Linked DNA regions of Drosophila melanogaster. The protein of the gene in region 2 purifies or fractionates together with the protein of the main gene of each other region. This does not show direct contact. Each region holds a gene or a part of one and is shown on either strand. Other genes may lie near its edges.

Region 1 (5,084 bases), on a different chromosome or scaffold from region 2:
TCAGGACAAAGTCCTCGGGGAAGATCCCCGCCAGTTCCAGTGCCCGTTGCTGCTCCAGCACGTTGTGCGATAAGGCTAAACAATCACTTCTGGCCTGCTGAGGATGCGGGGGACAGGCGATAACCAGGAGCACCTCTCCTGGCTTGTTACTACCGCAGCATAAGCTTGCGAGGCACAGAAGCCCAAACAGCACACATATCCTAGTAGGCATAACTAATATCTATTGCGGAACTCTAAGAGTTCCGAACGCATTTCCTGATATTTTACAAACACCTGCCCTTTTCCTACCGGAAATCGGAACACGTCTGTCCCAATGAACGTGCGATGTCGTACTGAGGCAGCTGTGATTTAATTTTGGCGCAAAGCCGAAATGTTTTGTGTCCTGTGGTGTCAAAAGTGGGATTCGGGATTTAACGTGCGTAGTCCAACGCGCAGGCGCCTCTATGAAGCGGTGTTTATGAATGAATCACAAGGAGCGTGCAACAGTTGGTCACCTGTTTAGGTATCTTTTTGACATCCAAACTAGTTTAAGGCACATATAAAAGTAGCTCCACTGAGCTGCGAAAACGCTATACGATTTGAACTATATGATGTTATTCATGAAATAATTAAAACATTCTCAGACATTTAACACTTTAATTAGATTCGATAATGTGGTTCAATGATACAATGTTGAATCGACTAGTTTTCCATTTAAGAAAAACTTTTATTTGGAATTAGAACGTAGTTCACAATACGTGCACTACATATGCGTACAAGTAGGGGGAATAAAAAAGCAATACTATTAGTGCATAGGCGAGGCCAGTCGCGTAGTTGTCTGCATGCTGTTGCTGCGGTTGTTCGACTTGAGCCGCAGCTCGTTGACGAGCTTAAAGAGCTGGTCCTGCTTGGATAGCAGTTCGCGGGTTCGCTGGCAGCCATGCTGAGGAGCGCACAGACCAGGATTCCAGCGACAGTATAGGCCCTTCCACAAGCGGACCGATCTCACGCTGGCAATCGGACGCAGCACTAGCTCGGCGCCGTGCGTGAACGAGGGAAAGAGTGGATTCAAATACTGGTCCAGCGACGAGTTGATGTGCGTCCACAGGGATGTTGTCTTGTGCTTGAGATCTACAATAAATGTGAAAATTACTTCCAAGCCCATGCAAACAGCAATCAGTCTAACCTTCGGCCACACGCTCGGCCTCCGTGTTGCAGAGGAAGGTGCCGAAGCGGCACGAGTACAGATGATCCACGATGGTTATCAGGAAGTGCTCGTTGAACTCAAATGCGTTGTTGAACTGCTGGCTAACCTGCCAGACGCTATCGATAAATTGCAGGAACACCGGAGATCTGTCTGCATCCGAGTGCTTGTTGTCGCCGTGACCAATGCGTTGTTGGAACTTGTGGCCAAAGGAGAGCCACTCCTTCTCAATGAGAACCTCGAAACCGCGCACTGTGCGATAGTGCGGATCGAGCAGCAACATGGAAAGAGCAGTCAGCTGGGCTGTGCGATCCCAGCCGTCGGAGCAGTGAACTACGACGGAGGTGCTCATGGTCTCCACCTTGTCAACAATCCTAACGGCGCCGGCCAGGATGCACCTAATGTGCTTTAGCCACAGTGTGTTGTCAATAGCCGTCTGCCACTTTGAGTCGTCGGTGGTGGGGAAGCAAGCCTCCTTCACTTTGCGTAGGCTCTCCCGCATCACGTGGATGTTGTGTATGTCGAGGAAGTTGATTTCCACGTTCTTGTACGCGTCCTCTGACTCGTAGCCGCCGCCCTTGGCCTTGTTAGCAATCGCATTGGCGCTTGGTCGCGCATCCATGATGGTCAACTTGTCTGACTGGGCGTTCGCCTCCATGATAAAGCTTAGGTATGCTTCATCGTCGGAATTTCGCTTGCCACTTACACCCACCAGCGGCTGGGAACACCTTGTAATGGTCGCTTGAGTCCGTGGGTTCATCCAGGACAAAACCGGCAGGCGGCAGCGCGATCGGAACTGTGCCACGCGCCTCAGGAAATCATCGGAGGCCGCTTTGGGCACAGCCCACACGGCCGGATAGCTGTCGCAAATTGCGTAGGACTCGTTTAGCTTGGTCGCCCGCCACATATCGTTGGGAACGCCCAAGCGGCGCAGCTCCGCCAGCGGTTCATATACCGCCCAGCCGTCCCAGCCTCCGTTACCGTTCACAGAGTTGGCCGCGGCGTGGGCGAATGCAAAGAGGCGCCCACTGTACGAGAGCGGAAAGGCGTTGGCCTGCAGTTTCTCAAACACCGTCCTCCGCGAATGATTCTGCTGCTTGTGGGCGAATCGCAGGTTTCGCATGTCCTTGCAGAAAATCTCGATGCCGTACGAGTTCTCACCGCGAGACGTGGCACCTCCAATCTTCTCCACACGCGCGATCACGCCCAGAGGCACGTCGACGACGACGGGCGGCTCCTGATCCCGCAGGGGAAGCGACCGGAAGTACAGACGGTAGTTGGTTATGGTAAGAGCGCCGAAGACGGGGCCGCGGTACGGACACACGTAGGTCACGTCGTTCTTCTGGTCCTGGTCCTCTTCGCCCTCCAGATAGCCGAAGGGCGTGTCCCGCAGAATGCCGTTTTCTCCGCCACCGTGCTTGGAGCCCAGCGAACTGGACTTGGAGCTGCTGTCCAGAGAGTTGCTGCTGGCAGTCTTGGAGGCCAACTTGTCGGCCAGGCTCGCGGAGGGATCCATTTTCGGATGGACACGAGTGGTGTTTGGCTATTGTGTTGCTGGTTGCAGCTGTGTTTTCTTTTCCAATTGTTAGCTAAATGCAATTCACCAAAACTCATGCAGCAGTGCTGCCAACTCACGCAATATAAAATCATCTGGAATAATTTCCCATTCCTCCGACAAAAGTACCAAAGGGACATTATGTAGTGGCGGAAAATTTGATTTTTATGTATTGGAATTAATCAACTTATTTCAGACATTTAACTGGTAATCAAGGAAAGCTAGAACAATTCCGCTTTTAAAAAAATCTCTAACATATGTATTTAATGCTTAATAAATTAAGTGTTAGAAGTGGCGTCTTCTTTAAGTTTACAGCGCATTGATTGTGTGACAGAAAACATCGGACCATGTCCTGGGATTATAAACTCGCACAGTTGTGCCATTTTACTGCGCTCCTCGCGCTGCACCTTCTCGTTTTCGCTTCCAGCGTCCATCCAAATGTTCTCATCGTCGATGTCCTCGCGACGCTCGAAGAGATCTCCGGTGATACCGACCCGTCCACCCAGCTGGGAATTTTCCACAAGAACTGAAACGCAGCTGAGGGTGTGTCCTGGCGACCGCCTCACTACCACCTCGGCATTCGAATCTAGGGCCAGTTGCTCGTCTGGATTACCACTACCAAGGTGGTCCATGTAGAGGTCGTGATGTGAGGCACATGCGCCGACCAAATGCATTCGTGCCTTCTGAAACAGATAGTTGCAACCGATGTGGTCAGAGTGTCCGTGAGAGCAGACCACCACGTGGATGTCATCGACGCCTAGTCCCTGCTGGCCCAACAACGAACGCAGGTGATCTCCATCCCAGGCCGTCAGTGTGTCCACGATTATGTTGGTGCCATCCCGGCAGCGGACCAGTGTGCATGTGCAGTTAGCCCGCATGGCGGACTCGTCTCCTTCTTCTTGGCGAGAATAGCCGACCTGGAGCACGGTCACCTGGTTTCGTTGCGCAGGATCAGTGTATGCCATTGTTTAGTTGTTTAACAACGATAACGCTCTAGCCTATTAAATTATTTAGGGTCAGCTGCTTATCAGCTGTTGCTTACAAACAGAAATGTCAACTCGTCAACAACCTGTTGAAAACTAGAGTTGCCACTATGAAACTTTTGACGAAATAAACAAATTACTTACGAATTAAGTAATTACTTATCTAACTTGTATACCGCTAATCACAGTTCAGAAATTATTTTAAGTTTTTTTTTACACATTGATTCCATTATTGGTTTCAGTATAATGGAAATTAGGATTTCATGGCAACACCGACACCAGCTGATCGCCAAAAATTCACTCACATGTTTATACGGCGTAATTTTGTTATTATTCAACGATTTCTGAATAAGCGTGAGATAAAGTGGCATGTATCTGAACCACCTGCCGCGGACACAATGGAAGTACCTACAATACCTTCTGCGAGTGCGTCAGCTTCAGCTCCTGCGACGGCACGTTAACATTGGCGCAAAGCCGCCCATCCAAACAGCTGCCTTGCTGCCGGCATTGGGCCAAAAACTGAGGAAGCACTCGCAGCTGGTGAACGGAGATCTCCAAGACAAGTTTGGCGTGCCACGGGAACAGGATGCTCTTCTAACCCGACTGGAGGAGGCCAAGACGGGTAACCAGATTTTAGATGTGTTGGAGAGCTGTGACGGCCTGCAGAGCTCCCATGTGGTGATGGGAATCTCACTGCTGTGGAACATCTATCACGACGCGGAGCAGGCAAGTAAAGATGCCATCACGGATCGCGTGCTGCTTAACGTGCTCCCAAAGTTGGCCCCTTATGTACACCAACTGGAGATCGATGATCTCAGTAGATGCTACCTGTACCTGCGCAAAATGCATATACCAAACTCCGAGGCAGTCGTGGAGGCCGTGCTGACGAGATCTCTTCAATTAATCGAGTCACAAGTTGATGACGAAGTCATTCCCTTGACCTCCTTGTCTCGCCTCTCGGTGGGCATCAACTTGGAACGCGACTTCTTCACTCCGCTTGTGTGTAGGAACTTTATTCCGCACCTGGAACATCACATCAATTGGTGTCGCAGCGCAGAGCAGGTTCGCCTTCTGTCCACGTGCCTCTTTCAGCTACACTTTCTCATTGATGAGGAGCTGTTTACGCGCTTCAAGTTGCGCTTGACTGAAATGATGCAAAGCGGCGTCCTCAGCAGCGAAACCCCTAAGGCTCTTCTGAAGGTGATCCACATGCTGAATATTCCAGTGTGGTCGCAGACCCACACCCAATTGATTCGGGAGGTCATGCTGGTCTTGCGACCTTGCATACACCAGATGGAGTCTGCAGATCTAAAGAGCATTTGTCGCACATTTTTGCATCATCAAGAACCCGCCGCACTGATAG
Region 2 (4,968 bases):
AAATGAATGCTCTGGCCAAAAATCGCAACACACGAGTTTTCGACTGTATTTCAAGTTTAGTTTACGGTGCGAAAAATGTGGGGGGATTTCAACGAGGACCGGGAGCTACACGTTAATTACAACATTGAGGCTGCTTACCAGTATTGTCGTTTAGCAGGGGATCGAATGCCTCCAGCACACTCACACGGGAGCTGCAAAGCAGGATGTTTGAATGTTAAAAACACGAACTAATCATTTCTGAACACTAGTGGATACATACTAGTCCTCGTGGTTGAGGTCGATCAAATCGTTGCCCCTGCGTGGGACCGAGGAATGACCATTGTTTCCAGTGTGGCTACTAGAGCTAACCCCGACAGTCGAGGGCACTTGGCGACGCGCTGGGAAGGCTACTCCATTGGCCTCTGCGGGGGAGGAAGTGGAATGGTTGGACGGTTGGCTGTGATGATGACTTGTTGTCGGTGCTGTTTGTTGGGGAGCTGGTTGCGATTGGGGTCGACGCAAATCCATGTGCGTGTAAGCACCTCCAAAGCCATATCCCTGTGCGGGATACTGCGGCGGCATAAAAGCAGCCGATCCGGGAACAATGGGAGCCGTGTATGGAGTAACCACAGCTCCGGGATAGTACATATAGGCGTTTGGCTGCGGCACTGGAACCACGGCCATTTGAGCGGGCATGCTGTACAGCCGCTGCAGCTCCTCGCTGTTTAGTGGCCTCTGTTGCTGAGCAGCTGGTTGGTAAGGCACCAACTGCAGGTCACCGTAAGCCGGTCCACCAACAACTCCACCTGCAACCATGCCGTACGGTGTGGGCTGAGCAGCCGTTGGACGTTGCTGATGAGGTGGAAAGCCGTATTGAGGAGGAATCGAAGCCGACGCAACTGGACCCATTGGCACCAGGGCCGACTGCGGATTGGTCGGCTGCATCCGCTGCAGATCCTCTATAAGTTTGCCAAAGGGACTGCTACTCTCTGGCTGCTTGCTGGTGGGACTTGCGAAGCAGATCAGATCGTTATCCGTTCCCTGGGCCGGCGGTGTGCGCGATCGTTCCGCATTCTCCGGACTGATGGCCACCTGATGCACCTCCGAGTGCCGTCGTGGTTGATGTAGGCTCTGACTACGTTGCGCCGCCTGGTAATCTCGGCCAGCAACGGTGGAGCTTTGCTGATACCCGGAGCCGTACTTCTTGTTTCGCCTGTAGTCATCGAGGGCATGCTGCTCTAGACTCAGGGCGGTCGCCTTGGCCAGGTCATCCTGGAATTGTTTGTCGTAGTCGATATGCGCTTGATTTGACATTATCCCCTCGTCTAAAGCGTCCGGTCCGTTGAGCTGCGAATGGGAACCAGAACAAAATGTGAGCGATTTCCAAATTTTGTTAAAATTATTTTCGTATTTTCTCTTCCAATGCCTATTTGTTGTTGAACAAAGGTGTTTGCTTTTGGGATTGCTTATCTCTGCGATAACGAACAGGCGGTGATAAAAGTGATTATGCAGTGTAAATGGCAATGGTACTATATGAGTACCTGGACGAAGAACAGGTGAGATAGCATTCGATGGGGGGAAGACCACTTGCGACAGAGTGGGGGTGCCTATCACTAGTTTTTTTTTTTTAAGTTGCAAAGGAATATTCGCGATCGATAATGAGCCGTCATTAGCGGGCACCAATGATTCAGAAATTCAGAAAATAGGGGAGAACAGATTGATCGCTTTATTAGATTTGTAAGCTTCGAAATGGTTAAAAGGATATGACAACTGCATTTAAAACGTAATTACAAGGATTTGTGATAGCCAGGGCAGGGACAGGAATTAATTTTATATTTTAAAAAATATCAACTTCTAATAGAAAAGTTCGAACATCATTATGCAAGCATGATATTAAGTATGATTAGCAGAGTTTCGACATTCGGTACAAACATCAGCAAAACATTTTATCTTATTGTTTGTACATACAAATGTGGTAAATACTTGTGTACTTTGCACATAGAAACCATATCCAAGCGCTCCAAATTTGCGATTGCGATACAGCAGAGTGGCGCAAAAAGGCGCAATTGAGTGCGCGATTGTAAATAAATATATAAAAACAAACAAAAGCGGCGGCATCAATTTGCGTGAATGAATGCTGCGAGTACTGATTTCCCAGATTTTACACATATATACGAATATATGCAATATAAACGTATATATATATGTCAGCATGTAAGCGTTTTGATTTTTTCCCCATTGAAGCCAATCTCGTATGCAGATAGGAAACAGCTGTTTAATATAAACACACCCACAAAAGCACTAGTGTGTGTGTGAGTCCGTGTCGCGAACGGGGACGGAATGGAAGATAAGAAAATGCGAACCGGCTAGGAATAGGAAGCGAGGAAGAGAGAGCAAAAGAGAGGGTTCCGTGCGGCAAAGGTTAAGGTAAATCAATAGATTGCGAAAAAATTTTTAAAAACAATATTCATAAACAATAAATGAACCCAATTGAATGCCAATTTATTCCGGAGAACGTAAGAATAAAATTTAAAAAAAACGAATATCGGTGGAAGGGCGAAAGAAAATAATAATGGAGATAGTCATTAATATGCAGACTTGACTTCTGCTTTGTGATTCTCATCCGCATATTGCCAACTTACTTGCTTTTTGAGGTGTCACCTCCGCTGCTTTTTACACCCGTTGCTAGTCTCTTTTTGGTTGAGGTTTTCCCTTGACGGGGCTACGAACATAGACCATCCGGTTAATAGTTTTACACTTTTATCCTCGGTTGTTGTTATATTTGACGAATCACAATTAATTTAAACTTAACCAAAGGTTTTTTTTTTGTTTTTAGGAGAGTTGTTTTATCCTCCTACACACCTAAACACCTACACACATACATGCGAAACGACCATACACAAACACGAACAGAAAACAGTGACAAAAAACGGAATAGACGCAACACCAAAATACTGAACAAAACGTTATTTTCTTAGATTTTCTTGCACCATCACATATTATGTACAAATCAGTTAATTTACAATAAAAAAAAAACAATTATCTTGTGCGCAAGAACTTTAAACACGAACAGCACGAAATAACACAAAACGGAATGCAACAAGCAGTAGCGATGGTAAACGAATCGATATTGTTTGGCAACTATCGATGAAAGATACATCGAACAGATGTTTGAGTATTGGCTAATCATGTAGCCGGGTTTCACTCCATCAATTCAAATTTATTGAGTTTCTAACGAATAACAAAATACTTAACTTTCGAGCGATATGTAATCTTGTATCTTCATAGTTTGTTTATAAAACTTATACTAATTGCCAAGTAATACATTTATTTATCTCAGTTGTTATTATTTGTGCTTCCACAAATTTTTCCACAATATCTACATAAATGCTTCGTCCACATTCAGGCCGTGATCCATGGCCACCTTGGAGTCGTCGTCCAGCCCACCAGCTAACGTCAATAGATAGTCGGGATCATCGATTGAACTACTGGGGGGCGCATTGTACATCCTGCGGTAGGAGGCTTCGATGTTTTCGTCCAGCATTCGATCCACAATGTCACTCTGGACCTGTCCCGGTTCCTGGGACATTTTAAGCAGCAGCTCCGCATGACTGGGTGTCACTTGAGGCAGTTGAAGATCGGTGGCTGCTGTGGGATTTACATTTGCCCTTCGCTGGGCGATTTCCGCCGATTCCGCACCCATTTTGCAGATTGCACACCTGCTGCGAGAAATCTGCTTCTTCAGATTGACCAAAGCCATACGATCCTGCGCCACCAGCATTCGTTCGTGGGCCAGCTGTGCCTCCTTTTCCGCGATTTCCTGGGCCCGCTTGGCCATGACCTTAAGCTTGGCCTGGAGCAGCTGGTCCGCCTCCCTAGCCTTCTGCTCGGCCAAGTGTTGGCGACTAGTGGCTAGGCGGTAGGCGCCGGTGGCTTGGCCCAGTTCGTCCTCCTTGAGATTTAGGGCGTGCTCCTTATCCAGAAGATGGCGCTTGCGCTGCTCCATTTCGCGCTGCAGCTTGTGGTAGCGATCCCGCTCCTCATCCGCCCGCCGAATGGCTTCGCGTGCCACCTGCAGTTGGGCCTCCAGTTCCCGGCGATCTCTGTCTGGGTCGCCGTGCTCATTGAGCTGTTGTCTTAGTTCAATCTGCTGGCGTTCCACTGTCAGTTGATTGCGCTCCTCCTGGAGATCGTGGTGCAGTCGTTCCATTTCCGCAAGCTGCAGTGCTTTAAGATCCTCCACACGCTTCTCGTCCCGCTGCATTTGCTCGCGATGGAATTCTTTTTCGCGCTCGAAAGCCTTGCGCTCCGCTTCCAAGCTGGACATTCGTTGACGGAGCTGCCAGTTCTCTTCGGCTGACTCCTTGGACAAACGGCCCAGCTGCAGCTCCAAGGTGCTCACCAGTTCCATCAGGCGGCGCTTCTCATCGTCGGCCGTCTCCTCGTCCATCTTTAGACGCCTTTCCTGGTCGGCCAGGCGACGTTCTCGCGCCTCCAACTGCCGTTCCCTTTCCTGGTTGTCACTCATCCCGTCACGAAGTTCTTGAAGATTGCTGGACGCCAGACGCAATGTGTCCAGATAATTTCCATGATCCTGCACCGCCGACAACTCCACCATTTTAGCCTGACGAATACCCTCGAGGTCCAGCTCGTGGGATTGACGCAGCTTGCGCACCTCATCCTCATGATCTTGTCGCAGGCTGGAAATCTGCTCCACATAGTCCTCCTTCTGCTTCTCCAGTTTTTCGATGTAGTACTGCCGTAACTCGCTATTCTCGTCCTTGAGTCGTTTCTCTACGACGGACAAGTGCTCCTCCAGCACCTTGATTTGTTTTCTGGACATAAAATTAAATTCTCTTACTCATTTGCATTATTATTTCAGCAGCTGGTTAAAACTTACTTATATGAAGAATCTATCATTTCGATCTCCTGCTCATAGTTGACCTTCATGTTGGCCACCAGCTCATCGAGTCGCTGTTTCTCCAGCAG

Evidence for each region.
Region 1: the proteins of Pi3K68D (region 2) and mtm purify together in Drosophila melanogaster (affinity purification with western blotting, with the first as the bait; one study listed by BioGRID). This does not show direct contact.

The regions. Positions count from the first base shown.
Region 1 is NT_033779.5:6,034,113-6,039,196, forward strand, and holds mtm (myotubularin), read right to left. Parts: upstream 2,904-5,084; 5' UTR 2,700-2,903; coding exon 1,166-2,699; intron 1,111-1,165; coding exon 785-1,110; 3' UTR 619-784; downstream 1-618. Other genes in the region: CG9109 (uncharacterized protein), read right to left, coding at 1-211; CG9117 (uncharacterized protein), read right to left, coding at 3,017-3,703; CG31643 (uncharacterized protein), read left to right, coding at 4,091-5,084.
Region 2 is NT_037436.4:11,786,920-11,791,887, forward strand, and holds the start of Pi3K68D (phosphatidylinositol 3-kinase 68D), read right to left. Parts: upstream 3,095-4,968; 5' UTR 3,003-3,094; exon of another isoform or gene 2,702-3,002; 5' UTR 2,622-2,701; intron 1,327-2,621; 5' UTR 1,294-1,326; coding exon 260-1,293; intron 192-259; coding exon 139-191; intron 1-138. Other genes in the region: twy (twitchy), read right to left, coding at 3,359-4,814, 4,880-4,968.